Saccharomyces cerevisiae S288C: one gene and its partners. The gene in region 4 interacts genetically with the main gene of each other region. Each region holds a gene or a part of one and is shown on either strand. Other genes may lie near its edges.

Region 1 (6,288 bases), on a different chromosome or scaffold from region 4:
ATATATGCGCATGCTTATCACCTATGGGAAAGGACTAAACTTTTCAATAATTCTCTTGGGTTACCGTTACCACTTAGGAAATATTTTTCGTCAATCAAGTTCTCCCACTTTTTTCCTGTGATATCCTTGTCTAATAAAACATTTGATTGTTTGTAGTAATCGATTAGTTCGTTAACTTCCTGTTTGTTCAGTTTAGGAACCTCGAATTCGGTGACATTACCTTTTTGGAGCAATTCTACGAACTTCGGTTCATAGTGATATCTAGTAACATAGGGGTCTACTGGGATCTTGCCCAATGCCACGGGTAAAGTTTTGTTTGTCCTGTCAACGCCGGATATAGCTAATATAGTAGAACTCTCACCATTAGCAAATTTCGTCTCTCCTGAAATAATGTCCATCATCAATTTACCCATTTGTAAATCCAGGGAATATATTTGTTTATTCTCTGTATTTCTGTACGCAGAATATGCAGTAGTTAACACTTTTGAAAAATTATCCACTGTAAACATGATTGGCACCTTGGATTGGACAGATAACTCATCAATAATGGCTTTCATTAGTTTTCCACGATTATGCGGGTGGGTCATTACGGATAACAAATCTAAAACTGTATTTTTCGTTTTGTTTAATGTGACAAATGGTTTTACAGAGGCATTCTTTGGGTTTGCATTCGAGAACTTGTAGTCTTTGGATAGCTCAATAGATTTTAACAATGCAGGGTCATTTGCCTTCAATATTTTCCTTATAAGCTTTTTCAAATACATCGGTTGGATGAAAAGCTTTAAATCATCATCATAAGAAAAGTCATTCCTACCGTTCAGGAATAATTCAGGATATGATATGTTAATAATGATTTGCTTGGAATCAACTGCATATGCATGCGCTTGAGAGAGTAGTACAGTTTTCCCGACCCCTGGCTCTCCAGTGATTATAAATTTTTTAACAGGATGAGATACTAGTTTCTTCAAAAAGCTATTCGTTGCATCTTCACGAACTAGACAAACCGGTTTTTGAAAAAGTTCATTGAACTGCGACTTCTTGAAGGAACCCAAATGGTGAAGGGATTTGTACTGTTTGTTGGAATATGATACTACTTTATTCAAAGTCTTGGAAATATCATCAAAGTTGAAGATAGGTAATGCCAAAGGAACGGCGGTCTGTTGTAATTGAGCGGTGTGCGTGGTGTTTGTCCAGTTTTTATACAATGAACCAGGAGTAACTCTCTTTGCAGATGAGTAAGATGAGACTGAAGATGATTTTTTGGAAAATCCTTGAGTTTTACCTTTTGGTGCCGGTTTAGCAGCCTGGAGAGATCGTGCCGTAGTGAACAGCCTTTGCCCAATGAATCTTGAAGTTGACATACGTAGCATTATTCTGATACGTATACCACGTGGCTTGTACTTGTTCTCTTGTTAATGTTTTCCCTCGAAGTATAGAAGTTGATGTATATATACAATATACATATATATATATTCTTGTACATAGTACTTGCTGAGTTTCCTTTTCTTTTTCTTCCGTTTTGTAAGAAAGCCCCGGAAAATATAGTGTTCCATAGGATAAAGAAAAACAGGCATACATATGTGCAAGCTAGTCGAGTAGGATAGGTTCATTAGAGACCAGTCTTGCAATATCGTCATTCAGTTCCGTCTCCAAATTAAAATCAGAGTAGTAATGTAGCGGGATCAAGGGCGAAATATCCTTGACCGTGGGTATGAGGTTCCCACTTGACCAGTTTCGGAATACGTGCTGCGCTGTGATGGGAGTATCGAATACAGTATATATGATGATTGAATCATCCTTCGAGTAGTTGTTTCTTTCAGAGAAGTAGATGTCGTAGATTTCATTAGCACTTAGCGTGATGAATACTTGATTGCGCAAATGAGATAAGCAGTTTGATTTATTATTTGATTGCAGGAAGTTGTCAAGGACAATTCTCAAAGTAGAGCAATCGTAATACGGATGTTGCGAAGCATTTTCTTGGTCTTGTGTGTTGAGATGTTTCCAGTCACCATAGGGCAAGTTGAAATGTTTTAGTTTCCTGAGTAGCTCGCCGTGGCGTTGGATTTGCAATAAATCAGGATGTGGTGTGGTGGTGGGTATCGTACTCGATTCAGATTCTTCCAGCTTTTGTATAAGTTTATTTCTTTCAATGTCGTTTGTTTTCCGTAGGAACTCAATTAACCAGCGGTCGTAATGGGGTCTCACGTCTGCATTGGTGAGGATATTAGTTGCGGTCGATAATAAGTGGAATTTGTGTATAATTGATGGATTGTCCGGGTGTTTGTCAGGATGATACTTCAGGGCAAGGGTCCTGTATTTGCGTTTAATTTGGGGCAAATCATCGTAGATGGTATGGACGTCCAGGGGGGTCGGTAATTCTAATACATCATATAGGTTCAAACGTTGATTTATTACGTCTTCCAATTCGTGTCCTGGCATAGTCGTGGCGAGGCTTGTAGTACGGCGATGGACTTGCTTTTTGATTTTGCTTTCATCTTCTAATGTCTTGCGAGATAATATGCAAGGAAAACAAAGGAAAGAAAATACAAAGTAATGCGGCTTGCATATATATATACATATATATATGTATATATGTGATATATATATGTGTGTGTGTGTATATATATTCATGAGTGTATAAAATAGATATATGAATGCGTGCGAATGTAGTTATAATTAGGTGTGTTCAGTTGGCCCATCTTTCTACCATTTCATTCATCCATTGCGGGCCTTGTAATTGAATGATCTTGGGCAGCTCGTCTAGCCCTTCCAGCAGGCCATCTTCATTAACGATCGCCGACTCCATGAACCCGTTCAACAGCTTTAAAATGAAGAGACAGTTTGGATACACAATGCATTGCGAATAAGGGGGGTTGCACCAGTACTCCAGGTATTTCAAGTAGTTTTTGAAGTTAGGAGACTTCCAGATCTGCTGTTGAGTGAGTAAGTACGTTACGTATTGGATGTTTGCCAGTGACTGGATAAATTCGAGCTCCACTTCGAACCTCGTGGGGAGAGGATTTTGATCCGAGGAAGGTGTCGCTGGTGCGTTTCCATTAGTGCTTGACATCCTGGGTGGAGCTTGGGGGAACTTTGCCGTCTTATGAGTGCTATAAGTTTTGGCTTACTTTGCCTCATTTTTCCTGCATTTCTTTTTCTTTTTCATCCTTTAAGAACACGTTAGCGGGAAAACCGTGAAATAAAATACAAAACGAACTGTTCGAAAAAAGCCAAAGGGGAAACGCCTAAAACTCCACTGAAACCAGCTATAAAGCACGGCATATTACAACAATGTCTAGCAAATGGTTTAATGCTATACACCTACTGGTGTGCCCGTTGACGGTACTGGTAGGATATCTCATGAACGCGTATGGCTACGGTGCGGCGCTGCAAGCAACCCTGAATAAGGATGGTCTGGTAAATGCTATGTTGGTAAAGAAAGGGTGGTTTTGGACTTCCTTGGTCGGATGGTGGTGTATTATACGCTACCGTGCGGTGCCGGGGGCAACCGGCAGAGACCGAAGACACATTGTCCAGTCATTCAAAAGGTATGCCATACTGACAGTGTGGTGGTACGTATTCACGCAAGGTATATGGTTTGGCGTAGGCCCCATCATGGACTTGGTATTCGTATATACGGGTGGCCATTGTCACTATGACGTCTTCGATGATGCAGGTCACGTGAACGAAGACTTCCAGGGTTCTGTCACCCGGACTAATCGCGCGTTGGCGCTCATTCACAATGTCCTCACTTTGCACGGACACCACCAAGAACACCGTCAGCAACAACTCTGGGACCGCTCCATAGGGTCGATCCAGGGCGCCCTGCAGGCGACGCAACCGAAAACCCCAAAAAACGTAACGGCCAGCGCTGCCGCTGCCATCAATACTTTTATTCATGACCAGATGCACAGGTGGCAAGGTCCGTTAACCACCTCGGCACAGTGCAGACGTTTTGGAGGCCATTGGGCTGGAGGACACGATCCATCCGGGCACGTGTTCTTGGCCACCTTGATGTGCATGTTTCTTCTAGGTGAGCTACGTGTGTTTGGGCGTCGTGCACTGGCTCACTTGTACGCGCAGAAATGGCAGCTTGTACGATTGGTGACCCGCCTTTTCGACACTGGACCGCTATGGACGTGGCGGCGGTGTGGCGGCGGCTCAATGACCTGTGGCGCCCGTTTGTGGCGTGCGATAGTCGAGCCGCCTGTCACGTGCGCGGCCGCCCTGCTCCGTTTGACGCGATGCATAGCATGCGACCACCCAGTAATCATACTGCTGACGCTATTGGTCACGTGGTTATGGCAGCTGCTGTTGACTGCGGTGGCGTCCCGTTTCCACACCGTACGTGAGCACATGTCTGGATTGCTAGCTGCGTACATAGTGACAGGCCTTGTCTACGCTCGCGACGCAGCCGCGCTACGTCCAGTATGACTCAGGAAAAGTTGGCGATAGACCACGAGCGACTGAAAAAATAACAGCGACTTTTCTCCCGGTAGCGGGCCGTCGTTTAGTCATTCTATCCCTCGGATTATAGACTGTGAATATTGCATATGCAACTTTGACTCAAATTTTTCCAAAATTTGATATATATATATATATATATATGTTTGTATGTATATATATATATACGTATATATATCATATATACGAAAAGTAGAAAAAAAAAGGTGATATTTCGCTCGTGGAAAAGCTAATGCCACAGCTTGTGTTTCGTGTAGTTTGCCTTGCTCCCCTTGATTGAAATAGTCTCCCTAAACTAAAGTTATCAGCAAACAGAACCACCACAGTTACTACTACAACCACATCGCAATATGAAGATCACAGAAAAATTAGAGCAACATAGACAGACCTCTGGCAAGCCCACTTACTCATTCGAGTACTTCGTCCCGAAGACTACACAAGGTGTACAGAACCTGTATGACCGGATGGACCGGATGTACGAGGCTTCTTTGCCCCAATTTATTGACATCACCTGGAATGCAGGCGGTGGACGGTTGTCACATCTGTCCACGGACTTGGTTGCGACAGCGCAGTCTGTGCTTGGTTTGGAAACGTGCATGCACCTTACCTGCACCAATATGCCCATTTCGATGATTGACGACGCTTTAGAAAACGCTTATCACTCCGGTTGCCAGAACATCCTAGCGCTGAGAGGAGATCCTCCTAGGGACGCAGAAAACTGGACTCCCGTTGAAGGTGGCTTCCAGTATGCCAAGGACTTGATTAAGTATATCAAGTCCAAGTACGGTGACCATTTCGCTATCGGCGTTGCCGGCTACCCGGAGTGCCATCCGGAGTTGCCTAACAAAGACGTGAAGCTTGATCTCGAGTATTTGAAGCAGAAGATCGACGCCGGCGGCGACTTCATCATCACTCAGATGTTTTACGATGTTGATAATTTCATCAACTGGTGTTCCCAAGTTAGAGCTGCGGGCATGGACGTGCCCATTATTCCCGGGATCATGCCGATCACTACCTACGCGGCCTTCTTGAGAAGGGCCCAATGGGGCCAAATCTCCATCCCTCAACATTTCTCGTCCCGATTGGATCCTATCAAGGACGATGACGAGTTGGTCCGTGATATCGGAACTAACTTGATCGTGGAAATGTGTCAAAAATTGCTCGACAGTGGTTACGTTTCTCACTTGCACATCTACACCATGAACTTGGAAAAAGCGCCTCTCATGATTCTGGAAAGATTGAACATTCTACCTACGGAATCAGAGTTCAATGCACATCCATTGGCCGTGTTGCCATGGAGAAAATCTTTGAATCCAAAGCGTAAAAACGAGGAAGTCAGACCTATCTTCTGGAAGAGAAGACCTTACTCCTATGTCGCAAGAACCTCTCAATGGGCCGTGGACGAATTCCCCAACGGTAGATTCGGTGATTCGTCTTCTCCTGCGTTCGGTGACTTGGATCTGTGTGGTTCAGACTTGATCAGGCAATCAGCGAACAAATGTCTCGAATTATGGTCCACCCCTACTTCCATCAACGACGTCGCCTTCTTGGTCATCAACTACTTGAATGGAAACTTGAAGTGTTTACCTTGGAGTGATATCCCCATCAATGATGAAATAAATCCAATCAAAGCACACTTGATTGAGCTGAACCAGCATTCTATCATCACTATAAACTCTCAACCTCAAGTCAACGGCATTAGGTCCAATGACAAAATTCATGGTTGGGGACCCAAGGATGGTTACGTTTACCAGAAGCAATATTTGGAATTTATGTTGCCCAAGACTAAGTTGCCCAAGTTGATTGACACCTTGAAAAACAATG
Region 2 (11,500 bases), on a different chromosome or scaffold from region 4:
ACCCTGAAATTGAAGATTTGGTTGACAGAATTGAAAACCCAGAAAAGTACGCTGCTGCTGCTCCAGCTGCTACCTCCGCTGCTTCCGGTGACGCTGCTCCAGCTGAAGAAGCTGCTGCTGAAGAAGAAGAAGAATCTGATGACGACATGGGTTTCGGTTTATTCGATTAAGAAGTGCAACATGAATTATTAAGTTAATTTCATATATACTATTTTATAATTAAATAACATTAATCCTCATTGATTCATTTTATTCATGATAATGTACTGTCCGGTTCCTTGCGCTAGCCTGAGTTAGTCTCCGAATACCTGGCGATTTTCATATATTCTGAGCGGCTCTGGACACCTAACTGGATAAAAATACTTCCACTTAATGTAGTTTGGTTTTCTAGTTCATACGGACTATTTCAAAGTTCATGATTTGATGAGAGAAAGTAGCTATACTATCTTCCCAATTTACGCTTGTCTCTGAACAAAGGTTTTTATCCTTTATATGCTTATTGAAATACTGAGAATACCAAAAGTTGTCTTTTTCTCTACTATCGCTTGATTCTTTCAAGACGTCGGATATAAGAAATGTCACAAAATCAAAAATAGCTGCGAGGAAATAATGAAGAAAAGTAAAAGACGAAACTACTGCTTCGATGAGAGGTGAGCAGAAGCTCCCATAAAAAAAAAAACCTATCTTGCAGTATTTCTATGTTCCTTAAGAGATCAATAGAAGTAGAATATGTTTCGAAGGGGAGATAATTCAAATTTTAACGTACAAAATAGCTTCTTTCTTCCTTTGGAATACGAATATACCGTAAAAGATAATGTACCTTCAAAAAAAAAGAGTAGTATAGGTTTTTTTCCATTAGATGATTCTTTATTCACATCAAAAAACAATTCAGGGCACCATAAAAGCGAACAGCTCCATCGCGGTAATGCAGAAACTATCAGAAGCCAGTTTGGAACTGACGCAGTTCCGATAAGGATCGATGAGAAAGAAGGAAAGTGGGATAGAATTCAAGATGATAATTCTTCTAATTTAAACTACCAAATTAACAACAGTAATGACCCAGCTTCGAGTGGTAAATATACCCAGAGTATTGACTGTAACCATATAGCGGAGTCAAAATTTTCAAAAAAAAATGGAAACATTGATAGTCTTCGTTCAAACTCAGCAACTTTTATGCTAAATACTGCAGATGAAGACGTGATAGAATTTAGTTTTGACGATAATGTCCCTTATGCTGAGTTATTATCTGGTGCCACCCTTGAAAAATGTTCGTTGACTCTAAATGAAATAAACAAAAAACTATTCAATACGCTCTATGACTTTCGAGTAAGCAAAGATAATCCCGAAGAAAATTTGGTAGAACTAATACTTCCGAACTGCGTGGTGTTATTAAACTTTTTTGAAGACATTGAACTCTTGGCCGACTCTTCTGATGAGGCTTTCGAAAAATCTACTTTCATTAACACAATTGAGTTCATTGTGCACGATATTTGGGTCGAAACGTTGATAAAGAACATAAACTTATTACAAATGTTTGATGCAGATTTGAAATGCTACAATGACAAGTACATAATTTGCAAGCTAAAGGGTCAGTATCCCTCCACAAATATAGTGGACATAATGTGCCGTTTGAAGCATTTTTCCAATTCTATTTTGGAAACTTTCAAATTCGGAATCGAGCTAAAAGAACAAGATCAATGCCACAATAGAAACACTATTATCAACTACGTTCTTTTCAGTAGAGTATTTTCAACGATTGTTTTAGAGATTCAAAAATGCTTTATCTTGATCGTTAAGTTCATGTATTCTGTCAATTTTTTAGAAAAATTTTCCGATGAAGTATTTTTGTCATTTATTGAAATTCTCATAAAAATTGTCTTTGAGCACCAGATTCCGCAGTTATTTTTGGGAATTGATGAAATTATTCAACTCTGGTTAAAGAACAATGAAGGAAAACGGCAACAACTCTTGAGCGCTTGGTGCAACGGAACTGTTCAAGATATGAAGCAAAGCCAACAAAGAGAGTCCTCAAACGCAGAATCTGAATCAATCACTTCAAGTACAGAAGAGGACGAAGAAGGCCTCCAATTCAATAAATGGGATGTGATTGAACCATTTATTGATAATATCAAGGCTTTGAATCAATCAAAATCCCATATGTGACGCAGCGATAAAACCGCGGCATGCAAACATCTACACAATTAGCAAGGGCAATCCATATTTTGTCTTTTCGCGCCCTGGAAAGGCCTAAGTAATGTCGTAAACGCATTCTATCTGTACTTCAACTCTCCTCTGTGCATTGGTTTGTGCAAATCACATTTTACGATACTGCCAGATTTATGCAAAAAGAGAAAACCAAGGGACCAGAACAAAGCAAAATTACGATAAACTTCGAATTCCTTCGTGCTTGACTAAGACAAAGGGATGGACGTAGCGATTTTTAGCGGGCCAAGAACTGGTTCCGAAAAAGCACAGGTACACCGAACCCTCAGCTAAGGAGGGACAGCACCGATGCGGAAGGACAAACTTTCTTTTTGCCTATCACAGTATCTTATCGAGCTAACTATTTTCGACACACATGAAAAAGCAGAAATATTAACGAAAAAGAAAAGAAAGACCATGTCATGTACGGGCAATCAGAATCTGTAACAAGCGCCATTTTTTTTTCTGTATCGGGCCCTCCTTACTGCTCTCCTTCCGTGTAACGCGTTATGAAACTCTAATCCTACTATCGGCGACTCTCTCGAAATTTTTCTTAACGCGTCCTTGTACTGCGTCTAACGCTTTTGCCACTTGGATTTCTATTATAGGAAATAGTCTCACTTACTGGGCGACGAATTTTCGCGTTTTGATGAAGCACAGGAAGAATTTCTTTTTTTTTTGGCTTCTTCTGGTTCCGTTTTTTACGCGCACAAATCTAAAAAAAGAAATAATTATAACCTAGTCTCGAAAATTTTCATCGATCCATTCGTTCCTTTTTTTCGATTTTTTCAGATCAAAATTCTTGTTTCTTTCTTTGTCTTAGTTTATATTAAAAGATATTTTGATTTTACTCCTGAACTATTTATTCTTTCTAAGAAGGCCAGAACACTACAGCTGTTTTAACCGACTACGAAGTTCTCCATTCTCGAACACTAGCCTTCATTTACCAAACAGGAACTAGCGTATATCATTAGTCCTTATTCGAAAAGAGATTGGTAGATATTTATTGTAGTTTGTGAGAAGGAGAAAATACTGTCATTGGACTGATAGTTAGAGGACATTAACCTCTCTTACGTTCGCTCAAAAAAATTAAAATAAGCAAGTAGCTGAAATCAAGTCTTTCATACAACGGTCAGACCATGAACACTGATCAACAACCTTATCAGGGCCAAACGGACTATACCCAGGGACCAGGTAACGGGCAAAGTCAGGAACAAGACTATGACCAATATGGCCAGCCTTTGTATCCTTCACAAGCTGATGGTTACTACGATCCAAATGTCGCTGCTGGTACTGAAGCTGATATGTATGGTCAACAACCACCAAACGAGTCTTACGACCAAGACTACACAAACGGTGAATACTATGGTCAACCGCCAAATATGGCTGCTCAAGACGGTGAAAACTTCTCGGATTTTAGCAGTTACGGCCCTCCTGGAACACCTGGATATGATAGCTATGGTGGTCAGTATACCGCTTCTCAAATGAGTTATGGAGAACCAAATTCGTCGGGTACCTCGACTCCAATTTACGGTAATTATGACCCAAATGCTATCGCTATGGCTTTGCCAAATGAACCTTATCCCGCTTGGACTGCTGACTCTCAATCTCCCGTTTCGATCGAGCAAATCGAAGATATCTTTATTGATTTGACCAACAGACTCGGGTTCCAAAGAGACTCCATGAGAAATATGTTTGATCATTTTATGGTTCTCTTGGACTCTAGGTCCTCGAGAATGTCTCCTGATCAAGCTTTACTATCTTTACATGCCGACTACATTGGTGGCGATACTGCTAACTATAAAAAATGGTATTTTGCTGCTCAGTTAGATATGGATGATGAAATTGGTTTTAGAAATATGAGTCTTGGAAAACTCTCAAGGAAGGCAAGAAAAGCTAAGAAGAAAAACAAGAAAGCAATGGAAGAGGCCAATCCCGAAGACACTGAAGAAACTTTAAACAAAATTGAAGGCGACAACTCCCTAGAGGCTGCTGATTTTAGATGGAAGGCCAAGATGAACCAGTTGTCTCCCCTGGAAAGAGTTCGTCATATCGCCTTATATCTGTTATGTTGGGGTGAAGCTAATCAAGTCAGATTCACTGCTGAATGTTTATGTTTTATCTACAAGTGTGCTCTTGACTACTTGGATTCCCCTCTTTGCCAACAACGCCAAGAACCTATGCCAGAAGGTGATTTCTTGAATAGAGTCATTACGCCAATTTATCATTTCATCAGAAATCAAGTTTATGAAATTGTTGATGGTCGTTTTGTCAAGCGTGAAAGAGATCATAACAAAATTGTCGGTTATGATGATTTAAACCAATTGTTCTGGTATCCAGAAGGTATTGCAAAGATTGTTCTTGAAGATGGAACAAAATTGATAGAACTCCCATTGGAAGAACGTTATTTAAGATTAGGCGATGTCGTCTGGGATGATGTATTCTTCAAAACATATAAAGAGACCCGTACTTGGTTACATTTGGTCACCAACTTCAACCGTATTTGGGTTATGCATATCTCCATTTTTTGGATGTACTTTGCATATAATTCACCAACATTTTACACTCATAACTATCAACAATTGGTCGACAACCAACCTTTGGCTGCTTACAAGTGGGCATCTTGCGCATTAGGTGGTACTGTCGCAAGTTTGATTCAAATTGTCGCTACTTTGTGTGAATGGTCATTCGTTCCAAGAAAATGGGCTGGTGCTCAACATCTATCTCGTAGATTCTGGTTTTTATGCATCATCTTTGGTATTAATTTGGGTCCTATTATTTTTGTTTTTGCTTACGACAAAGATACAGTCTACTCCACTGCTGCACACGTTGTTGCTGCTGTTATGTTCTTTGTTGCGGTTGCTACCATCATATTCTTCTCCATTATGCCATTGGGGGGGTTGTTTACGTCATATATGAAAAAATCTACAAGGCGTTATGTTGCATCTCAAACATTCACTGCTGCATTTGCCCCTCTACATGGGTTAGATAGATGGATGTCCTATTTAGTTTGGGTTACTGTTTTTGCTGCCAAATATTCAGAATCGTACTACTTTTTAGTTTTATCTTTGAGAGATCCAATTAGAATTTTGTCCACCACTGCAATGAGGTGTACAGGTGAATACTGGTGGGGTGCGGTACTTTGTAAAGTGCAACCCAAGATTGTCTTAGGTTTGGTTATCGCTACCGACTTCATTCTTTTCTTCTTGGATACCTACTTATGGTACATTATTGTGAATACCATTTTCTCTGTTGGGAAATCTTTCTATTTAGGTATTTCTATCTTAACACCATGGAGAAATATCTTCACAAGATTGCCAAAAAGAATATACTCCAAGATTTTGGCTACTACTGATATGGAAATTAAATACAAACCAAAGGTTTTGATTTCTCAAGTATGGAATGCCATCATTATTTCAATGTACAGAGAACATCTCTTAGCCATCGACCATGTACAAAAATTACTATATCATCAAGTTCCATCTGAAATCGAAGGTAAAAGAACTTTGAGAGCTCCTACCTTCTTTGTTTCTCAAGATGACAATAATTTTGAGACTGAATTTTTCCCTAGGGATTCAGAGGCTGAGCGTCGTATTTCTTTCTTTGCTCAATCTTTGTCTACTCCAATTCCCGAACCACTTCCAGTTGATAACATGCCAACGTTCACAGTATTGACTCCTCACTACGCGGAAAGAATTCTGCTGTCATTAAGAGAAATTATTCGTGAAGATGACCAATTTTCTAGAGTTACTCTTTTAGAATATCTAAAACAATTACATCCCGTTGAATGGGAATGTTTTGTTAAGGATACTAAGATTTTGGCTGAAGAAACCGCTGCCTATGAAGGAAATGAAAATGAAGCTGAAAAGGAAGATGCTTTGAAATCTCAAATCGATGATTTGCCATTTTATTGTATTGGTTTTAAATCTGCTGCTCCAGAATATACACTTCGTACGAGAATTTGGGCTTCTTTGAGGTCGCAGACTCTATATCGTACCATTTCAGGGTTCATGAATTATTCAAGAGCTATCAAATTACTGTATCGTGTGGAAAATCCTGAAATTGTTCAAATGTTTGGTGGTAATGCTGAAGGCTTAGAAAGAGAGCTAGAAAAGATGGCAAGAAGAAAGTTTAAATTTTTGGTCTCTATGCAGAGATTGGCTAAATTCAAACCACATGAACTGGAAAATGCTGAGTTTTTGTTGAGAGCTTACCCAGACTTACAAATTGCCTACTTGGATGAAGAGCCACCTTTGACTGAAGGTGAGGAGCCAAGAATCTATTCCGCTTTGATTGATGGACATTGTGAAATTCTAGATAATGGTCGTAGACGTCCCAAGTTTAGAGTTCAATTATCTGGTAACCCAATTCTTGGTGACGGTAAATCTGATAACCAAAACCATGCTTTGATTTTTTACAGAGGTGAATACATTCAATTAATTGATGCCAACCAAGATAACTACTTGGAAGAATGTCTGAAGATTAGATCTGTATTGGCTGAATTTGAGGAATTGAACGTTGAACAAGTTAATCCATATGCTCCCGGTTTAAGGTATGAGGAGCAAACAACTAATCATCCTGTTGCTATTGTTGGTGCCAGAGAATACATTTTCTCTGAAAACTCTGGTGTGCTGGGTGATGTGGCCGCTGGTAAAGAACAAACTTTTGGTACATTATTTGCGCGTACTTTATCTCAAATTGGTGGTAAATTGCATTATGGTCATCCGGATTTCATTAATGCTACGTTTATGACCACTAGAGGTGGTGTTTCCAAAGCACAAAAGGGTTTGCATTTAAACGAAGATATTTATGCTGGTATGAATGCTATGCTTCGTGGTGGTCGTATCAAGCATTGTGAGTATTATCAATGTGGTAAAGGTAGAGATTTGGGTTTCGGTACAATTCTAAATTTCACTACTAAGATTGGTGCTGGTATGGGTGAACAAATGTTATCTCGTGAATATTATTATCTGGGTACCCAATTACCAGTGGACCGTTTCCTAACATTCTATTATGCCCATCCTGGTTTCCATTTGAACAACTTGTTCATTCAATTATCTTTGCAAATGTTTATGTTGACTTTGGTGAATTTATCTTCCTTGGCCCATGAATCTATTATGTGTATTTACGATAGGAACAAACCAAAAACAGATGTTTTGGTTCCAATTGGGTGTTACAACTTCCAACCTGCGGTTGATTGGGTGAGACGTTATACATTGTCTATTTTCATTGTTTTCTGGATTGCCTTCGTTCCTATTGTTGTTCAAGAACTAATTGAACGTGGTCTATGGAAAGCCACCCAAAGATTTTTCTGCCACCTATTATCATTATCCCCTATGTTCGAAGTGTTTGCGGGCCAAATCTACTCTTCTGCGTTATTAAGTGATTTAGCAATTGGTGGTGCTCGTTATATATCCACCGGTCGTGGTTTTGCAACTTCTCGTATACCATTTTCAATTTTGTATTCAAGATTTGCAGGATCTGCTATCTACATGGGTGCAAGATCAATGTTAATGTTGCTGTTCGGTACTGTCGCACATTGGCAAGCTCCACTACTGTGGTTTTGGGCCTCTCTATCTTCATTAATTTTTGCGCCTTTCGTTTTCAATCCACATCAGTTTGCTTGGGAAGATTTCTTTTTGGATTACAGGGATTATATCAGATGGTTATCAAGAGGTAATAATCAATATCATAGAAACTCGTGGATTGGTTACGTGAGGATGTCTAGGGCACGTATTACTGGGTTTAAACGTAAACTGGTTGGCGATGAATCTGAGAAAGCTGCTGGTGACGCAAGCAGGGCTCATAGAACCAATTTGATCATGGCTGAAATCATACCCTGTGCAATTTATGCAGCTGGTTGTTTTATTGCCTTCACGTTTATTAATGCTCAAACCGGTGTCAAGACTACTGATGATGATAGGGTGAATTCTGTTTTACGTATCATCATTTGTACCTTGGCGCCAATCGCCGTTAACCTCGGTGTTCTATTCTTCTGTATGGGTATGTCATGCTGCTCTGGTCCCTTATTTGGTATGTGTTGTAAGAAGACAGGTTCTGTAATGGCTGGAATTGCCCACGGTGTTGCTGTTATTGTCCACATTGCCTTTTTCATTGTCATGTGGGTTTTGGAGAGCTTCAACTTTGTTAGAATGTTAATCGGAGTCGTTACTTGTATCCAATGTCAAAGACTCATTTTTCATTGCATGACAGCGTTAATGTTGACTCGTGAATTTAAAAACGATCATGCCAATACAGCCTTCTGGACTGGTAAGTGGTATGGTAAAGGTATGGGTTACATGGCTTGGACCCAGCCAAGTAGAGAATTAACCGCCAAGGTAATTGAGCTTTCAGAATTTGCAGCTGATTTTGTTCTAGGTCATGTGATTTTAATCTGTCAACTGCCACTCATTATAATCCCAAAAATAGATAAATTCCACTCGATTATGCTATTCTGGCTAAAGCCCTCTCGTCAAATTCGTCCCCCAATTTACTCTCTGAAGCAAACTCGTTTGCGTAAGCGTATGGTCAAGAAGTACTGCTCTTTGTACTTTTTAGTATTGGCTATTTTTGCAGGATGCATTATTGGTCCTGCTGTAGCCTCTGCTAAGATCCACAAACACATTGGAGATTCATTGGATGGCGTTGTTCACAATCTATTCCAACCAATAAATACAACCAATAATGACACTGGTTCCCAAATGTCAACTTATCAAAGTCACTACTATACTCATACGCCATCATTAAAGACCTGGTCAACTATAAAATAATACAATCAATACTTGCTTGAACGCTTGATTTTACTGATATTCTATCCAAAAGCAAGTAGACCAGAAACTCTCAAGATGTTGCAAATACCGTTCGATGTTTTTGGTTTAGATTGTTTTAATGTTGATGCTTTTTTACTTATTTTTGGAAGCGTCTTTTTAATTTAGTTTTATATTATAGGTATATGAATGTGTTTATGCCAATAAGGGTTTTTTTGTACAGTTATGTGATTATAAACAGTCTTTTGTCTAGTTTTTTTCACCAGTATCGGCCTCTATTTATAAAAAACGGAGCAGCTTTCGGTGTCAGTAATTCTGAAAAAATTTGTGTCACTCTGATTGTAAATGAATTAATTTAGCTAGATAGTTGCGAGCCCCAACGAGAAGATTGTCAGACAAAGACAACATTCAACAACCTACATCCGTTACTATTCGTTAACTCGAGGTACTTGAAACTTTTCAGTTAAGTATGAACAAGAAACAAAATTTTTACGCAGCCATTATTGTGGCTATTTTTCTTTGTTTGCAATTGTCTCATGGCTCTTCAGGTGTCAGCTTTGAAAAAACCCCTGCTATTAAAATTGTAGGAAACAAATTCTTTGACTCTGAGAGTGGGGAACAGTTCTTCATCAAGGGCATTGCTTACCAATTGCAGAGAAGTGAAGAGGAGCTTAGCAATGCAAATGGGGCTTTTGAGACAAGTTATATTGATGCCTTAGCGGACCCAAAAATATGCTTAAGAGATATTCCATTTTTGAAAATGCTAGGAGTGAACACACTGCGTGTTTATGCAATAGATCCGACAAAATCACATGATATATGTATGGAAGCTCTATCTGCCGAAGGAATGTACGTCCTATTAGATCTTTCAGAGCCTGATATTTCAATAAATAGAGAAAATCCATCTTGGGATGTACATATTTTTGAAAGGTACAAATCTGTAATTGATGCAATGTCATCCTTTCCAAATTTGTTGGGGTATTTTGCAGGGAATGAAGTGACAAATGACCATACAAATACCTTTGCATCACCCTTCGTGAAGGCCGCAATCCGAGATGCCAAGGAGTATATTTCGCATTCTAATCATAGAAAAATCCCTGTCGGCTATTCAACTAATGACGATGCTATGACAAGAGACAATTTAGCAAGGTACTTCGTTTGCGGAGACGTTAAAGCTGATTTCTATGGGATAAATATGTACGAATGGTGTGGGTATTCCACGTATGGTACTAGTGGATATAGGGAAAGAACGAAAGAATTTGAAGGTTATCCAATTCCCGTGTTTTTTTCGGAATTCGGCTGCAATCTTGTAAGACCAAGGCCATTCACTGAAGTTAGTGCCCTTTATGGCAATAAAATGTCCTCTGTTTGGTCTGGTGGCCTTGCATACATGTATTTTGAAGAAGAAAATGAATACGGAGTTGTTAAGATAAATGATAATGATGGAGTGGATATTCTTCCTGATTTCAAGAATTTGAAGAAAGAATTTGCAAAGGCAGATCCTAAAGGCATTACAGAGGAAGAATACTTAACGGCAAAAGAACCAACTGAAGTAGAAAGTGTTGAATGTCCACATATTGCTGTCGGAGTTTGGGAGGCAAACGAAAAACTACCTGAAACACCTGATAGAAGCAAGTGCGCCTGTTTGGATGAGATTTTGCCCTGTGAAATAGTCCCTTTTGGTGCTGAATCTGGAAAATATGAAGAATATTTTAGTTATTTGTGCTCTAAGGTTGACTGTTCCGATATTCTTGCAAATGGCAAAACCGGTGAGTACGGTGAATTCTCAGATTGTTCTGTCGAACAAAAACTTTCCCTTCAGCTGAGTAAATTGTATTGCAAAATCGGCGCAAATGATCGCCATTGTCCTCTAAATGATAAGAACGTTTACTTCAACTTAGAAAGCCTGCAGCCCCTTACAAGCGAGTCGATCTGTAAGAATGTTTTTGATTCTATAAGGAACATCACATACAATCATGGCGATTATTCAAAATCAAATCCATCGCGTAGCAAGGAAAGTTTGAACGTAAAGTACCCATCGAGTGAAGAGAGAGAAAATGACGGCACCATCGCATTTAAAACTTCAGGGTTTGTTATACTTCTAATTTCTATGATAGCTGCTGGAATTCTTCTATAAAAAATTCATTTAATATTCAATGAAGTTATAAATTGATAGTTTAAATAAAGTCAGTCTTTTTCCTCATGTTTAGAATTGTATTAATGTACGCCGTTTACGTTGGAGTGTAAATGTGTCTATTCCAGAACGAAATCTAAATGAGCAGTACAGGCAGTTCAGATGGTACTGAAGCGGTACTAAAGATGCATGAATTGAACAGATGTGGTAGTTATGTATATGAGGAATATGAGTTGTCACATTAAAAATATAATAGCTATGATCCCATTATTATATTCGTGACAGTTCGTAACGTTTTAATTGGCTTATGTTTTTGAGAAATGGGTGAATTTTAAGATAATTGTTGGGATTCCATTATTGATAAAGGCTATAATATTAGGTATACAGAATATACTGG
Region 3 (7,023 bases), on a different chromosome or scaffold from region 4:
CCTGCTGATTATCCATTTTTATTATCAATCGTTTTTTCTTTCTTGCCCTTTTGATAAATAAATAAAATATATTTGAAAAAGATTGATATCAAGAATCCAGATATCTTTGCGTGGTAAAGCGGTGATTCGTGTTGCAATTTCCACCTCTTTTCTTCTCTGCCAATTTTGAACTCGACTGCACAATTCGATTGCTTCAATCATGCTTGTGTTTCTGTCCTGCAGCGCATGGGGAAATTTCCGAAGCAAAGATGGGAACAGTCAAGAGCAAGAGCAACAGCAAAAGTAATAAAAGACAGTAAAAAGCACAATATACTGCTATCGGCCGTACATAGTAAGTTAGATTAGTGAAAGAGAGGCAGCAAAAACTGCTGATAAGTTTTTGCACCGAAATGTGCCGCTAACTGCTTCTTGTTTTGCTGCAAGTTGAGAACCCGTAGTGTCATAGCATATAAATAATCTTGTAAACGTATACTTACATAAAGACATGAGTAGAGAGCGTAATGACACCAACATTTTTCCCCTCAATGAAAGTGTCGAAAATGATGGTCCGATATCAACAGTCATACAATAATGTGACAGCGGTTTTCTGTTTGTGCGAAAAGAAAACAGTAGAATATAAATTGCGTTTCAATATAGATTTACGAACCCTAAACAACAACACGCATAAGTAATTGTGCTGGCTAAAGGGAAATAGTGCGTGCGCTGCCTTTTGTCAATTTTATCTACAGGAATCATTGATTATGAGGAGGACTTTTTCTCAGTTAGCAACCCGACTATTGAAGTCGAAAGATGATGAGCTGAAATCAACTCTAAAATACTTGACCAAAGGTCCAGTGAAGTTGTTGGGGCCTTTGTTTGAATCTTCTGAAGTTAATGAACAAGGTTCCTTATTGAATCGTTCACGCACTAAAGAAAATAATCTTCAAAATCACCATATAGAGAACATCCTGAGAATACTGAATTCAAATCTACCGGAAGTAGAGTCCAAGAAACAAAAAGTAGCTGTTCATTACGATGTGCTTTTCTCACATTTGAACTCAATAGTTACCCAGGCAACGGATAACAAAAGTTCTTCTTCGAAGGAACTACAAGGTTCATCGTCCGAGGATCTATATGATAGGCTGCTGCTTTTGCAGTATGTGGGCAAGTTAACTAATGTGCGTCAAATAACAGAAATTTTGCTCTCAAAAAAGTTCAACAAATTCGATAAAGTATGGGAGCACAGAGCCTTGTTTGACGAATACCAAAGAGTAGTGATATCCATCCTGTTGTATTATAGAACGCACGATGTGCAAATAAGAAAAGACTACGAGCCTCGTTGGTTGTCCGATTACAGTGATCTACCGTTTCCTCTGCGACGTCTTTTGTGGAGATGTCTAACTTCTAACGTATCTGAAGATAATATTCGTCAAAATATAATTCATTACATTAAGCTTTTAGGCGCAAATTGGAGGAATAACGATTTGATTTTAATTTATCAATCTTTGTATGAAAAGTCACATATATTGCCTGATTTAACGGTCCTGAACCACAATAAAGATGATGGTTTCTCTTTCACCCAAAATCAAATCCTGCTTGTTCGTATTTTAAGGGCTATTTCGAAATGCGTTGAAGAGGAACCAAAATTGGTCAAAAAATGGTTAATTGATATCGTAAAATTGAGTATACAAAGCAAAATAATGCTGGAGTCACCGAAGAAACCGTCCACACCAATAATGGACCAATACAAATTTATTAGATCCTTAGATATTTCTATACGGAGTATCCATCGGACGTGCCAGGATAAACTAATCTTTGAAGATTTACAGGTCAACCTTGGAAGTGTATTAAAGATGATTAATGAAGAAGAACACGAGTTAAAAACACACTTACCATTGAACCTCATATAAGAGAGAACACAGAAAAAGCAGGTTAATAATATTCATATGGCGACTCTAAATCAAGAAAAAAATAATCGTTTGTGTTACACCCGAAATATTGAAATTTCTAATCGTATACACAAATTTAAGTATGCAAAACTAAATAGTAATATTGCCCACACAAAACATTCATCAGTTTCCACCAGCAGAAATGCCTTTTTATATATGTAAATGCGAAAAAAAATCACTGACACACACACAAATGCACATTTTTATCTTATGTTACACACAGTTATACGCACATACGCATTCAATCTCTATGTTTCTTTTTCTTATCCTTTTTATCCTTCTTCTCCCTCTTCTCCCTCTTCTCCTTCTTCTTTTTCTTCTTTTCACTAGACTCCTCTTCATCGTCGTGATGTGAACGCTTCTTTGGTTCTTTCTTATTTTCTTTAACTTCCTCAGCCACATGGAAATCTTCGGCATCATAACCAGTAGCAAAATGCTCCAACTTCAAGCCTTCTACTTTTGGAACATCTTTACGTGGAACTCTTACCTTACTGTAATCAATAGCTGGGATTTTAGCGGTTTCGCTGACAGAAAATACCTTGTCAAACTGTAATGGTGCATTATCCTTGGCAGTGCTAGCAATTTTAAGACTTTCCTTACTTTCCGAAGGAACCAATAAAGTCATATTACTGAGGTTATCCTGTGTTAACGAGGACTCAATATCTGTATCGTCCATGATTTTATAATCGTGTTTATCAATTGTCATGGTTGTAGAGGATTCAAAATCTACAGGCAGAGATTTTAACTTGGAGATGTCCACATTTGATGGGAATTTGATCAGCCAAACCTGTTGCTGTTTCGCTTTTTTTTTGTTATCACCGTTGAGAGGGAAATTCTTTAAATGTTTACATTTCTTGAAACCATCTGGTATGCTGAACTCGTTTGATATCACTTCATCATCAGAGTCTGAATCTGATACGTAATCTTTCGAAAGCTTGGACATATCAATTTTTTGTTAATCCCGTTTATTGAATCCTAGCTGCTCACTGCTCACTCGATCACAGACCTATATGATACCGAATACCCTATAACTTGAGCTATTCAATGCTCATCGATAAAATTTTTCATTTCTTTAATTTCATGTTTGAGAAAAAAAGTTTCGCAACACCCAATAACCACACGCTGCCCTAAGAAAAAACTTTCTCAGGCTGAAAAGAAAATTTTTTTTCATTTTCTAGAGCTTTATGGGCAGAAACAAAATGTATAAATACTGGACAACCTTCTGTAAGGTTATAATAATCTCGACATTCGGTTAATAAGAATTCCCCTACATAAGAACAAACAGCAGTGACTGTAATGTAGTAAGAATGAGAGTAATCCTCCTCTTTCGACTTCAGCATTGCACTCCTTCCCATTTGATACATTCAAGTTTGAATAATCTCAAGAGAAATTTCATGACACTTTTTTAAACAGAAAAGAAGAATTGATTGGCCCTGATGATAATGGTGTCTCTTCTTTCCTCGTCCGATTCGACCATGACGACAAGGGATTTTATCTCGTTCTCTTAATGCGAATGATTTTGAAAAGATGTTGCTTCTGTGACATTTTTTTTTAATCATTTGTGTTTGCAAACGGGAACTTTTCTTGCCAGTGTTATACAACACATGCAGATCTGAGCCTTTATTTTTTCTCATGAGATTATCAAATGTGGGTAATTTGAGGAGACAGATAATATATATAATTTATGATCACGGTGATGAAAGACTGGTTCCTTAACATTCGCAGTTTCCACGGTAGGAGTACGCTTACGAACCCATCGTTAGTACTCTCGGTGACCGCTCTTCTTTAGAGACCTTCCTAGGATGTCTGAGTGATCGTATACTGTAGTATCTTGTGTTTACTTTATCAAACCAGCTTACCAACATTGGAATAGTTGGTTGATTTTTTTCTAGCATCCGAATGGATCTTGTATTTCCTTAATATGAAGTAGACCAGTAATCTGAATCCTGCTAGCTTAAAAAATGCGTTGAATATATATTATTAAATATATATATTTGAAGGGGAGTTGATTACATAACAGTGGCTATTCTTGCAATGGTATCAGAATTATTATTGTTGTTGTTGCTGTCGTTCTCCAGATTCTTGTTCGATTCCTTTGACCATCCATACAGATTACTCTTATAATCATAATGATAAAAGACGGGTTCAAAAATACGTTCATTATTCTCCTCCATAACTATTGTGGGAATGTCATTCAACATCAAGAATCTCAAATGAGGAAAACTTTTCAAAAAAGTAACGTAAATCGACTTGAAGTGATGGATAAGAGCGTGATAACACATAATAATATCTCTTTTGGTCAATGATTCATGAGGAAGTTCCAGGTCAGTGGAAATTGTAGCTGCTGTGTCATCACTACTTGGAGGAATGGCCGCATTAATTTCATCATCATCATCATCGTCATCGATTATTATCATTTCGGGCTCGCTCATATGAGCGGTTGATGTGGAAGTCACGGTGGAGTGTTGATGTGGGTTATTAACGATTTTGGGCACCAACTGGGATTTAGAATTTCTATATTCCAAAAGGTTGCGGTTCATCTTGGTCACAAAATTAGTCAAATTCATTGGTTGTGTTCTAACGCTCGGATAAGCATCACAAGCTTTAGAGTATGGTAACAAAGATAGGTATTTCATCATTTTAAAAATATCCTTTGCAGCAATGTCTTGAAGATCGTGAATATAGTAGTCTTCAGGGAACATGAATATTTTGCCCTTCAGAATGTCACTGAATACTATTTGACAGTTTGTGCAGTTGCATTGCTGATTTAGTTGGAACTTATTTTCTTGAATATTGATGATTTGTGGGATAAGACCGTCGTATCTCAGATCTATGAATTGCAATTTGGAGCAAGCTAAAAGAATGGAGAGAAATATGTGAGGATTTGTGGGTTCAGGTACATACTCCTCTAAGAAATCCATTTTTAGTCTTTTCAAATTGGTTAACGAACTAAAAAGATCTACGAGGATATGAACATCCTGCTTAATAGAAATCAAAGACAAATCTTCCAGGTTCTCAAATTCTTTAAAATCTTTCAGCATTTCTGTCTCGCGTTTTAACAAAGTGTCATTCCAAGAAATGATGGTAAGAATTTTCAATGTCCTCTTGTCAAAAACCTCCGATAGTTTAGTCAGAGGATTGCCGGGTCGTATCTTTTTAACAAAATAATCATTATTGTAAAACTCCCTCCTCCAATGCAATTTTAAATCGATGATTTGTAACTTGATATCTAAAGGGTAAAGATAATTGAACAGTTTTAAAGGGTCGATGAATAAAGTCATATGAGAAAGCCGAGAAGAGATACGCTGTGAAAGATATTTGGTGAGATTCGGAATGTAATTTTCGGGAACAACCATCTCAGGCAATGAATTTGGAGGAGCCATGTCGAAACTTGAGACGTTGCTCCTGGAAAAGTGACCATTGGAGATGATATCGTTACAAGCCGGGTCAGTGACGTTTTCTAGTCTTTGCAAGGACTTGCCCTGATTGCAAAGGATGCTGAGAATGGACCTTTGCAAGGTAGAGTCCAAATCCCAGTTGATCCTTATCCACTGGATGACTTCAGTAATGTGAATATTATTTTGCAGTGTTTCTATAAGTTTTTTCAATTTGCAGTTGGCGATATCGCGGGACTCCTCTTCTTTCAACGAAGACGGCAAGTTCAGTAGGGTCCAATTAATTGCGAGATGCATGAAGTCACTCTTCACTACATTTGAGTCGTTCAAATATATTCTTCTATAAAGCAGTTTGGTAGCGATCTTATTCAACCTTTTGTTCACAAGGCAAAGCTGCAAGCGGTCTGGTTGCGGCAAATGAGAGAATACTTCTTGCATGAGCTCATCGGGGAGCTTTGTTAGCGGGAACACGTAGTTTTTGCTCTTGGCGGCGAAATTTATGTTAATATCGTTAATATCTCGTAGCGCTGAAGCATCTGCGTTACTTTTATTGTTTCTGTTAATGAACGCTGCTTTTTTCTTCTGAAAATAATCTTGAAATGGCATGATATGAATATAAGCTGAGTTGTAAACACTGTGTATAGACGTCCTGGATATTTTGCACGGAAATCAGATCTCCATCGAAATCTACAATTCGCTTATAATCTATATATATTCCTCTTTGTGTGGGACGATAAAGTAGGGTAATACTTGCAATGAGAAAGAATACTCTGGTGAACAGGTGCATTTTGAGAGGGAAATAGGAACTAAGAAAAACAAGTAGAGGAAAAGGGGTGTAGTGCAGTGCAGTAAAGCGTTGCATTGATCGTATCTTGATAGATATACCGGTATATTACTGAACGTTTACATTCACCCTACAACATTTATAAATCTTATATATTATACATGCAAACTCGTATTTGTGAAGTGGGCATATAGTTTTTCGCTATGTATATAGCGGATGAGTGCGTTGGGATTACTATTTCTTTAATGCACGTGATGAAGGCTCGTTTTCTTTTTTTTTTTTTTTTTTTCTTTTTGGGAACGGGGGAAAAGGTCTCACTAGTATATAAAGGAAAGAGAGTACAGCACGAATGAGCCAGCTGCAGGAAAGGGGCTAGGTTAAAAAATAAAAACCCAGCAGAAAGCAAACAACCAAATATAATTTAGAAATGGACAGAGACCATATTAATGACCATGACCATCGAATGAGCTATTCCATCAACAAGGACGACTTGTTGTTAATGGTTTTGGCGGTTTTCATTCCCCCAGTGGCCGTCTGGAAGCGTAAGGGTATGTTCAACAGGGATACACTATTGAACTTACTTCTCTTCCTACTGTTATTCTTCCCAGCAATCATTCACGCTTGCTACGTTGTATATGAAACGAGTAGTGAACGTTCGTACGATCTTTCACGCAGACATGCGACTGCGCCCGCCGTAGACCGTGACCTGGAAGCTCACCCTGCAGAGGAATCTCAAGCACAGCCTCCAGCATATGATGAAGACGATGAGGCCGGTGCCGATGTGCCCTTGATGGACAACAAACAACAGCTCTCTTCCGGCCGTACTTAGTGATCGGAACGAGCTCTTTATCACCGTAGTTCTAAATAACACATAGAGTAAATTATTGCCTTTTTCTTCGTTCCTTTTGTTCTTCAC
Region 4 (7,664 bases):
CCGGAAAGGATTCTTTCTCTATCTTCATCATCTTTCCAAGTAGCCTTTGAGTCAATGGAAGCAATCAAATCTTCTTTAGAAGTAGACTTGGCACCTAAATATTGTTTTAGTGCTTCGTTCCAGGCAATTGGCTTGCTGAAGATTTCGTTAGCATCATCCTTCAACATACCCATGTCAACTAAAGCCTTAACAAATTCTGGGAAACCTTGATATCTCAAAGTACCTCTAATGACCGTTTCGGCTTCTGGAATATGATAAAGATCCTTGAAAAGGGTAGAGTCTCTATTTGGGTAGCAAACGAATGCATAACCTGGGTAGATGAAGTAAGGCTTAGCAGTGGCCATTAAGTCTTCGGAAGAAACAGTTTCAATCTTTCCGTCTTTCCAGTATTTAGCAGAGTTTCTTAAAGCCAGTAGCACACCTCTGGAGGACCATGAAAATTTGTATCCTAATGGATTATCAGAGTCTTCAGGAGCTGGTAAACCACCACAGTATGACAAGAATGACTTTAGCTTACCACCAGCTCTGTGAACTTCATCAATAGTCTTGACCGCATACAAGTGGTCGATACCTGGATCCAACCCAATTTCGTTCATAACTGTAATACCTGCCTTTACGATTTCTGGTTCCAATTCTCTTAAGGCAGGTGAGATGTAAGAGGAAGTGACGACATCGGTCTTTGTTCTGATGGCGCTCTTTACCACATTTGGATGGAAGGTGTATGGAATCAAAGAGATGACAACATCGTTATCAGCCAGAACTTTGTCTAAGGCACTGTCATCGGTAACATCCAATGAAATAGCCTTGGATCCAGAGGGCTTGGCCAATGCTTGCGCATTGGCTAATGTTCTACATGCGACAGTGACATTGATGTCATCATTAGCAGCCAATGTGTCGATAACAGGTTGTGCAACAAAACCAGATCCTAGCAACAAAACGTTCTTTCCCATATTAAAATATATAATACGTTAATATAACTCAATTGTCCTGATAAGTTTTCCCTACTGCCTAAGGATCCTTCCCATGTAATTTTACCAGGACCCTACGGTTTATATACCATTAAGCCAAATTCTGTGCTACTTTCTATCATCTATTGCTGATAATTCCATTGGAAATTCTCAATACCCTTTATTGACATCTTTATTTTTCACTACAAAGCGAATTTTTCCAACGGAATTTCGATTCCAGAGTATGAGTAATTCTTTTCACTACTAAACGCATTGCTTCGTGGTCAGTAGTAACCGCAATCACACTCTTCACTTCTGTTGTGGTGAATATCAAAAGAAACAAGAGATCATCCACAATTTCCTCAGCTTGACTTGTCTGCAGTTGCGATTAAAATTTGACTTTTGCTCCACCGCTCTCTACAGGTATTATATTTGGAAATCATCAAATGATGGGAATCCCCTACGTGGCACTTAGATACGATACATAAGACTCTTGCATATGTAGCTACCAACGTGGGAAAACCTTTCAAGTAACAGTTTGTTTGCTCTTAGCAACTTCTAGCCCTAATGAAAAAAAATGAAAAATAATTGCCAGCTTTTCCCCGCGACTTTTCAAAATCGGTATAAAAGCAAGTCGAAAATCAGTCAAAAAACTTTTCTCTCTTGATTGCTTATTGCAATCTCACTTGTTTTTTCCTTGATTTTACTTTCAATTTAGTTTACAATATCATGGGACTTTATCTCCATGACTATGCCATTTCTAGGTAGCCTATGGTAAACGAATCCCGTAGATTATTCACACGTTTGTTGTCTTTGTTGACAACAACACAGAGTAAGAAAAAGCAAAAGATTTATCTCTTTTGTCCATCTTTTTTTTATTTTGAAGGCGTGTAACATTTATTGGTTACAACATGGCTTGTTTTCTTGTCCCTAACAATCGCCAGGAGAATTTTTTTTGAAAATTTTCTTCTATTTTAATTATGTACATAAATGTCGTCAGTTAACTACAAATGAGCTATCTATCAATATGCTTTTTTTTTTTTTTAATTACTGCTCAAGCTTGCTATCCCCTTCTACCTCCGTTTCCTAGCACAGAAGAAAGTGCCCATATATCATTATATTCAATTTTTAACTTGTCTCTTTTTCTTTTCTGCCTCGGTTTCGCGCATCTACTCTACGCTATATTTTCATAATCATCTCATTTAAATGGCATTCATTCCCTTCCGCGCCAGTATATTAGTTACTAATCATACAGTTTCTTGTTTCAATTTTTTAGATTTTAATTAGCGGTTTTTTTTTGGTTTTTCTTAAGATTGGTTTTATGATTTTTTTTTTTCTTTTTCAAATTTTTTTATTATTTTTTCAATTTTTCTTTTTAAAAGGCTTGTGGTTGACTAGTCCTTTCTTTTTAGGGGTTGCTTTCTATGAGAACGTGTTCCATTAGTAAATATGCCAGGAGGATTATTGCTCGTGGGCTTCTTTACTGTTTTTCTTTCTAAGCATACTTCAATACCATCAATTGACTTTTTCTTCTTCTCTAAAGCATCGATTTGGCTCTTTTGAGTTTCAAAGTCGACGACGGCAAAATTGTCTGCAGCTGTTATCCTCATAACTTTACCGAATTCTTTTTCTAAGGCACTTCTCAATTTTTCTTCTCTTAAGCCATTTGTACCTCTAATGTAGATTGGATAAAAGCCGTCCTTGTTAACGGTGCTGAATACTGGTTTTTTCTTATTTTTGCTGTTAGCACTAGCGTTGTCCCTCCGATTCCCCATTTCAAATTTTCTTTCAGTCGGTTTCTTGGGTAGTGTTTCAGGTCTGATGTATTCAACCGTGGTATTATTTTTGCTAATTCTGTCGGAGTTTTCATTCATCAACTTTGAGGCCCATGTCATCTTTGGTGGATTCGCAACGGGCTCTGGAGAAGATGAAGGTGTTGAAGCGTTATTGCCGGATTCTTTGGCGTCGGAAACCTGTGGCTCTATTGGTTTAATTTCAGTTTCAGCTTCCTTTACGCCCCCAGGTACCGGTTTTTCATCACTAACTTCTTTACCGTTGGGCAAAGAAGAGTTATTAACAGCATTTATGGCCTCAACAGAGCCTTCCTTTGTCTTGATTGGTGCAGCTTTCTTTTCGGCTTTGTGAGATTTTTCATTTAGTTTAGTAACGTTTCCTAACTCTTCTGTAGAGACCTCATCTTGTTTGTGGTTGCCCTTAGTACTAGATGGTACCGTTTCGGTGTGAATCTTGGACTCTTTAGTGACGGGTATAGCCCGAGGTTGACTATGATCGACAATTGGTTTTTCCTGAGTTGACGATTCAGTTGGCGCAGTTGTGTCTTTGACCGTTTCCTTTTTGGCCTTTGGTTTCGATATTTCTGGTGATTTTTCTTTTTCTTTTTCTTTTTCAACTCCGGACTCATGCCTTATTTTATCTTCTTCAACTGCACTGACAGAGTTCTCCTCGTTAGATTGTGACAAAGAAGCATCTGTTAAGACATAAGGCTTGAATGAATTGGAAATAAATCTGATTATATCATTGGTAATGTCAAACGTAGACCCATTGCTGGATGGTAGCAGGATAAATGTTTGACAAAACTTATAGACCGGAGTTCCTGTCCAAAACATTTCACCCGTGGCCATGATCAGAATGCTTTTGTGCAAGTGCCCAGTGTACTGGAAATCTATAGTATCTAATTTTAGTTTCAAGCTCCTAACTTTGGCATCATTTCTAGAAAAAAACTTATTAATGTTTTCACGTCCAGTAACTTTCACCGTTGGAAGAACGTCATCTTTTTCGTTTGTTGACTTGGACTGATAATTAGTATGCGTCAACTCGGCTGTACTTGCATAAAAATATGCCAATTTGGAAGGGTCGGTCCTCATTCTTTCGTAGTAGTTTTGCAAAAAGGCAAAACATATGTCTTGAACGGTAACACCCATTTTCTTTTATTTGATACTTCTATTCGAGGGTATGACTTCAAATGCAACTATTAGTGACAAGGTAATAAAACTATAACACACTTGAAAAAAAAAATGCGATGGTTTTGTAGTATTCTTCGTGATCTTTTTCTCTTTAAAAATCAACGAAAAATAAAGATGTATCAGTAAAATAAGTTTTCAACAGATTCTCTGTAAAATGATTGACTAATTGAATATTTGAAAGAAAATGAGGTTTGAACGAAAATAATAAAACAAAAAAAAAAATGTAATTAAATGGGCAAAAATGAATTAAAATGTAGGGAAAAAACACAACTTGAAGAATTAAACAGAGTAAAAAAACGAAAGCTTGTGGTAGGTGATATAAATAAATTAAAGCAATATCTTACTGTTTATTCTTCCTCTAGAATAGTTTTGGTACTAACGGTAACTAGAAAACTGAAGAAGTTTTTCGTATTCTTCTAATACTCAAGCAAAATATCCTATGTCAAGTACTACCACTTGTACAGTCTTCGTTTTGTACAAATTAGGTATGAATTGCTCTTTTTTGAAACAGTAATGGGATAAAAAACAAATGACTTAGTTTAACGTCCGCCGGTTGCGATAGAACTTTTAACCGTAACAATAGTAACAGTGGACAGGAAAAAAAAACGGTACGAAAAGGTAATATTGCCTAATCTGAAATAATGTAGTCACTCTAGAACTATTAATAAAGAAGCTTGTACTTCCTCTTATCCCTGGAATGGACGGTTATGCTGCTTGCAATATGTCATTCTTTCATTAATCGCCACCTGATGTTTTTCGCTGCTTTGGACGAAAAAATTTCCAAGAAAAAATAAATGGTTAAACAAACTACAGCGCACGTGACCGATAACTATACGGGAATAACGCATCAATCTCCTGTGGAAGAGTGCTTATTGCATCGAAGAACCAATCTGTATTACTACATGTCCAATCATAAGCTGATGTTGCTTTTAAACTTTTTTTTTTAAAATTGTGTATACATATAGTACATAAATGATCATTGGTCCCCATCAATACCGTATATGACACCTTGGTACTTGGCGAAATCCGTACCGTTTGGGAACTTATGCATAGACAGCTTGCTCAATTGGCAGAAGGATAGAAGCATCAATAGACTCTGGCCGCCTGTAGTAGTAAATATAGAGAATCTTGGTAGCCCTAACTCATCGGCAAGTGTGGTTAGTGAATATTGCTGCTGCTGTTGCTGTTGTGAAGATTGTTGCAATTGAGGGTTCTTGAACTCCTGGATTATTTTATACACCAGGTTTAAGTCGTAGAAATTGGGCATGTATTGATGGACCCACCACTCGAAATCCTCCTTGTTGTTGGGCATGGAGTCATTCATTAGAATGTTGATCAGGAAACCTAGATCATATGCCGCATGGTATGTGATCCAAGTAACAGAATCATCCATCATTAAACCAGAGTCCATTAGAAGCTGCGAAAATTCAAATACATCGATGCCTAAATTTTCGTGTTTTTCGAAGTTGATACCTGATTTTCTGAGTAATTCTAACGATTCTGTGGACATGATTTCCTTCTTTGGGTCAAATTCAAAATTGAACTGCCACGTTGAGGGACCGTTGTCAGGCTTATTGCCGTTGGCGTCACTCAAGGAAAGACCAAGTTGTATTGGGTTTAAGAAGTCTACGTTGGCCCTCATTGTCTGATAGTGGTAATCGACCTTCGACCTGAAAGTGCCGATCGGCCTAGCCAAAGTCCCCACAAACTCAGTACTGATTGACACATGATTATACTGCGAGACCAGTTGTCTTATAACGGCGAATTCACTGTAAAGGTTGGACTTCCAGACATCGCGAACGAAAAGATAATTTGGGGGTGGTAAAAAGATCGGTGGCATACTTTGGTTGGTTAAATGCTTGGGTAGCTGGGAAGCCAAGGGACGATTGAGTCCCACTCCCTGCTGCTGTTGCTGCTGTTGTTGTTGCTGCTGTTGTTGTTGCTGCAGAACGTTCAGTCCGGGCGGCAAACTAGCCACCGAAACAGGCGTTCCTATATTAAATGGCTGCTGTTGTTGTTGCTGTTGCTGTTGTTGCTGAGTTAACAGTGGCTCGTTCTTCTGCTTCAAAAGATAGGCATTGTTCATCTCCTGATTAACAGAGCCATTAATTGTATTTACAGGCATCCCTTGAGGAAACATTCTTGCTCTATTAACCTTTGGCGAATACACCTGAGGTCCCATGTTTTGCTGCTGGTGTTGTTCAGAAGCCTGCCTCTGAGAGAAAAACTGCTCACCTCCTACAGCTAATACCCTCGGTTGTACATTCATAGATTGCATAATCCTTTTTGACCCTTTATAAATGTATAAAATTGAGTTGCCTGTTTCTAATCGTTCGAAGTATTTCCAGTATGAAAAACAAGGAAGCCCTGATAACGAGACACGCTAATAAACTTCAAACTGATCTTTCTTGTCAGTTATCATTCTACTACTATAATTGAAAAGACTCAATAAAGAAAATATCATAATGATGAAAAAAGAGCGAGCAGCGGGTAAGGACCGAATTCCGTTTGGAATGACTGGTATAATGAGATTTACCTTATACTATAGAGAGGGCTATATCATTACCGAACTTAAGTTTTCTATTGGAATATTATACTTTATAAACTAAATAATTACCCATCTATGTTGTTTCCCCAAGAATGTTTGCTGCCATATAATAAGAACAAAAAAAAAAATAACAAAAAAAAAGAAAAAAAAAATCACTTGTAATCTTAAATTAATATTATACACCGGTTGTCCGTTTTTACCTCTATGCCGTCTTCTCAACTTCTTTCTTCTTTGGTTTTTCTTCCCCTTCCTTTTCAGGTGGAAGGACGAACCAAGGGATTTTACCTCTATTAAAATCATTCAATATTTGCTTAGAAACACCAGACTCATCAGGCTCACCACCCTTCAGTAATCTACCTTGTTTCCTTGCCAGAATTTCAATAAACTCCGTGGCATCCTTCCATCCTGAGATCTCGTAAGTTCTTTCCAAGTGCTTTACCTGACAACGTTTTAAAACACCTGGAATATATTGTTCTGGGTGTGTGACGTGTTCGACTCTGACAACACCTCTGAATAAAATGTCTTCTTCGGAGTCTTTACTAGAAGGCGGCACAATACCTGGACAATCAATCAAAAAAATTCTTTTCATAAGAGTAATATATTGCCAGACCTTAGTTTCACCAGGGATTGGTGCAACTTGACACACCTTTTTCTTTCTCAATGTGTTAATGATGGACGATTTACCAGTGTTTGGATAGCCGATAAACCCTACAGATATTTGCTTTCTATCAGTATGCAACTGTGAGAACTGACGTAGCAACTGAATTAACGAACCTTTACCGAAAGAGTTGGTAATAGATGCGTGAAACGCCAAAGTTGGACGTTCCTTTGACAAATGTTTGACCCAAGCTGCCTACTTGTAAAGTTAGAATTGAAAAAAAAAAACCTTCTGTTAGTAAAAAATACATTTTGTTTCATAATAGGTAATCTTTTGCCCCAAGAGAATGTAATAATCATTGTTATAGCCGAGATTGATTGTTTCGAAGAGTGGATTAAACTAAAAAAAAAAAAAAAGTAGAAAATTGTGAGGATCTTTACTACGAACATATTGTATGGAGCCCGAGATAAAGTCTCAAATAACAAAAGCTCAACTCATAAGATCCTCGCTGTTCTAAAAAGCGAAGGTATACCTTTAAAACAAAGGTTGTCCTTCTAATTTACCCATGAGGCTTCCCCAGAACGGGG

What was found.
Region 1: mutations in BRE5 (region 4) and SOH1 together harm fitness more than expected from each alone (negative genetic interaction), as found in Saccharomyces cerevisiae (5 studies listed by BioGRID).
Region 2: mutations in BRE5 (region 4) and FKS1 together harm fitness more than expected from each alone (negative genetic interaction), as found in Saccharomyces cerevisiae (5 studies listed by BioGRID, with this or other methods).
Region 3: mutations in BRE5 (region 4) and RPA34 together harm fitness more than expected from each alone (negative genetic interaction), as found in Saccharomyces cerevisiae (5 studies listed by BioGRID).

Annotation. Positions count from the first base shown.
Region 1 is NC_001139.9:267,706-273,993, forward strand, and holds SOH1 (mediator complex subunit SOH1), read right to left. Parts: upstream 3,071-6,288; coding exon 2,687-3,070; downstream 1-2,686. Other genes in the region: mitochondrial 37S ribosomal protein mS29 RSM23, read right to left, coding at 18-1,370; U2-type spliceosomal complex subunit CWC23, read right to left, coding at 1,588-2,439; SCS3 (Scs3p), read left to right, coding at 3,292-4,434; methylenetetrahydrofolate reductase (NAD(P)H) MET13, read left to right, coding at 4,815-6,288. UniProt on the Saccharomyces cerevisiae protein: Component of the Mediator complex, a coactivator involved in the regulated transcription of nearly all RNA polymerase II-dependent genes.
Region 2 is NC_001144.5:806,656-818,155, forward strand, and holds FKS1 (1,3-beta-D-glucan synthase), read left to right. Parts: upstream 1-3,341; coding exon 3,342-8,972; downstream 8,973-11,500. Other genes in the region: 60S ribosomal protein uL10 RPP0, read left to right, coding at 1-170; SPO77 (Spo77p), read left to right, coding at 730-2,163; YLR342W-A (uncharacterized protein), read left to right, coding at 9,155-9,328; GAS2 (1,3-beta-glucanosyltransferase), read left to right, coding at 9,439-11,106. UniProt on the Saccharomyces cerevisiae protein: Alternate catalytic subunit of the 1,3-beta-glucan synthase (GS) complex. Synthesizes 1,3-beta-glucan, a major structural component of the yeast cell wall. Involved in cell wall synthesis, maintenance and remodeling.
Region 3 is NC_001142.9:136,285-143,307, reverse strand, and holds RPA34 (DNA-directed RNA polymerase I subunit RPA34), read right to left. Parts: upstream 2,872-7,023; coding exon 2,170-2,871; downstream 1-2,169. Other genes in the region: IDS2 (Ids2p), read right to left, coding at 1-16; SMT1 (Smt1p), read left to right, coding at 741-1,889; SCF ubiquitin ligase complex subunit DAS1, read right to left, coding at 3,938-5,929; SNA3 (Sna3p), read left to right, coding at 6,535-6,936. UniProt on the Saccharomyces cerevisiae protein: DNA-dependent RNA polymerases catalyze the transcription of DNA into RNA using the four ribonucleoside triphosphates as substrates. Component of RNA polymerase I (Pol I) which synthesizes ribosomal RNA precursors.
Region 4 is NC_001146.8:714,439-722,102, forward strand, and holds BRE5 (Bre5p), read right to left. Parts: upstream 3,890-7,664; coding exon 2,342-3,889; downstream 1-2,341. Other genes in the region: LYS9 (saccharopine dehydrogenase (NADP+, L-glutamate-forming)), read right to left, coding at 1-950; CCR4-NOT core DEDD family RNase subunit POP2, read right to left, coding at 4,908-6,209; putative GTPase NOG2, read right to left, coding at 6,682-7,332. UniProt on the Saccharomyces cerevisiae protein: Has a role in de-ubiquitination. In conjunction with UBP3, cleaves ubiquitin, leading to the subsequent mono-ubiquitination of sec23.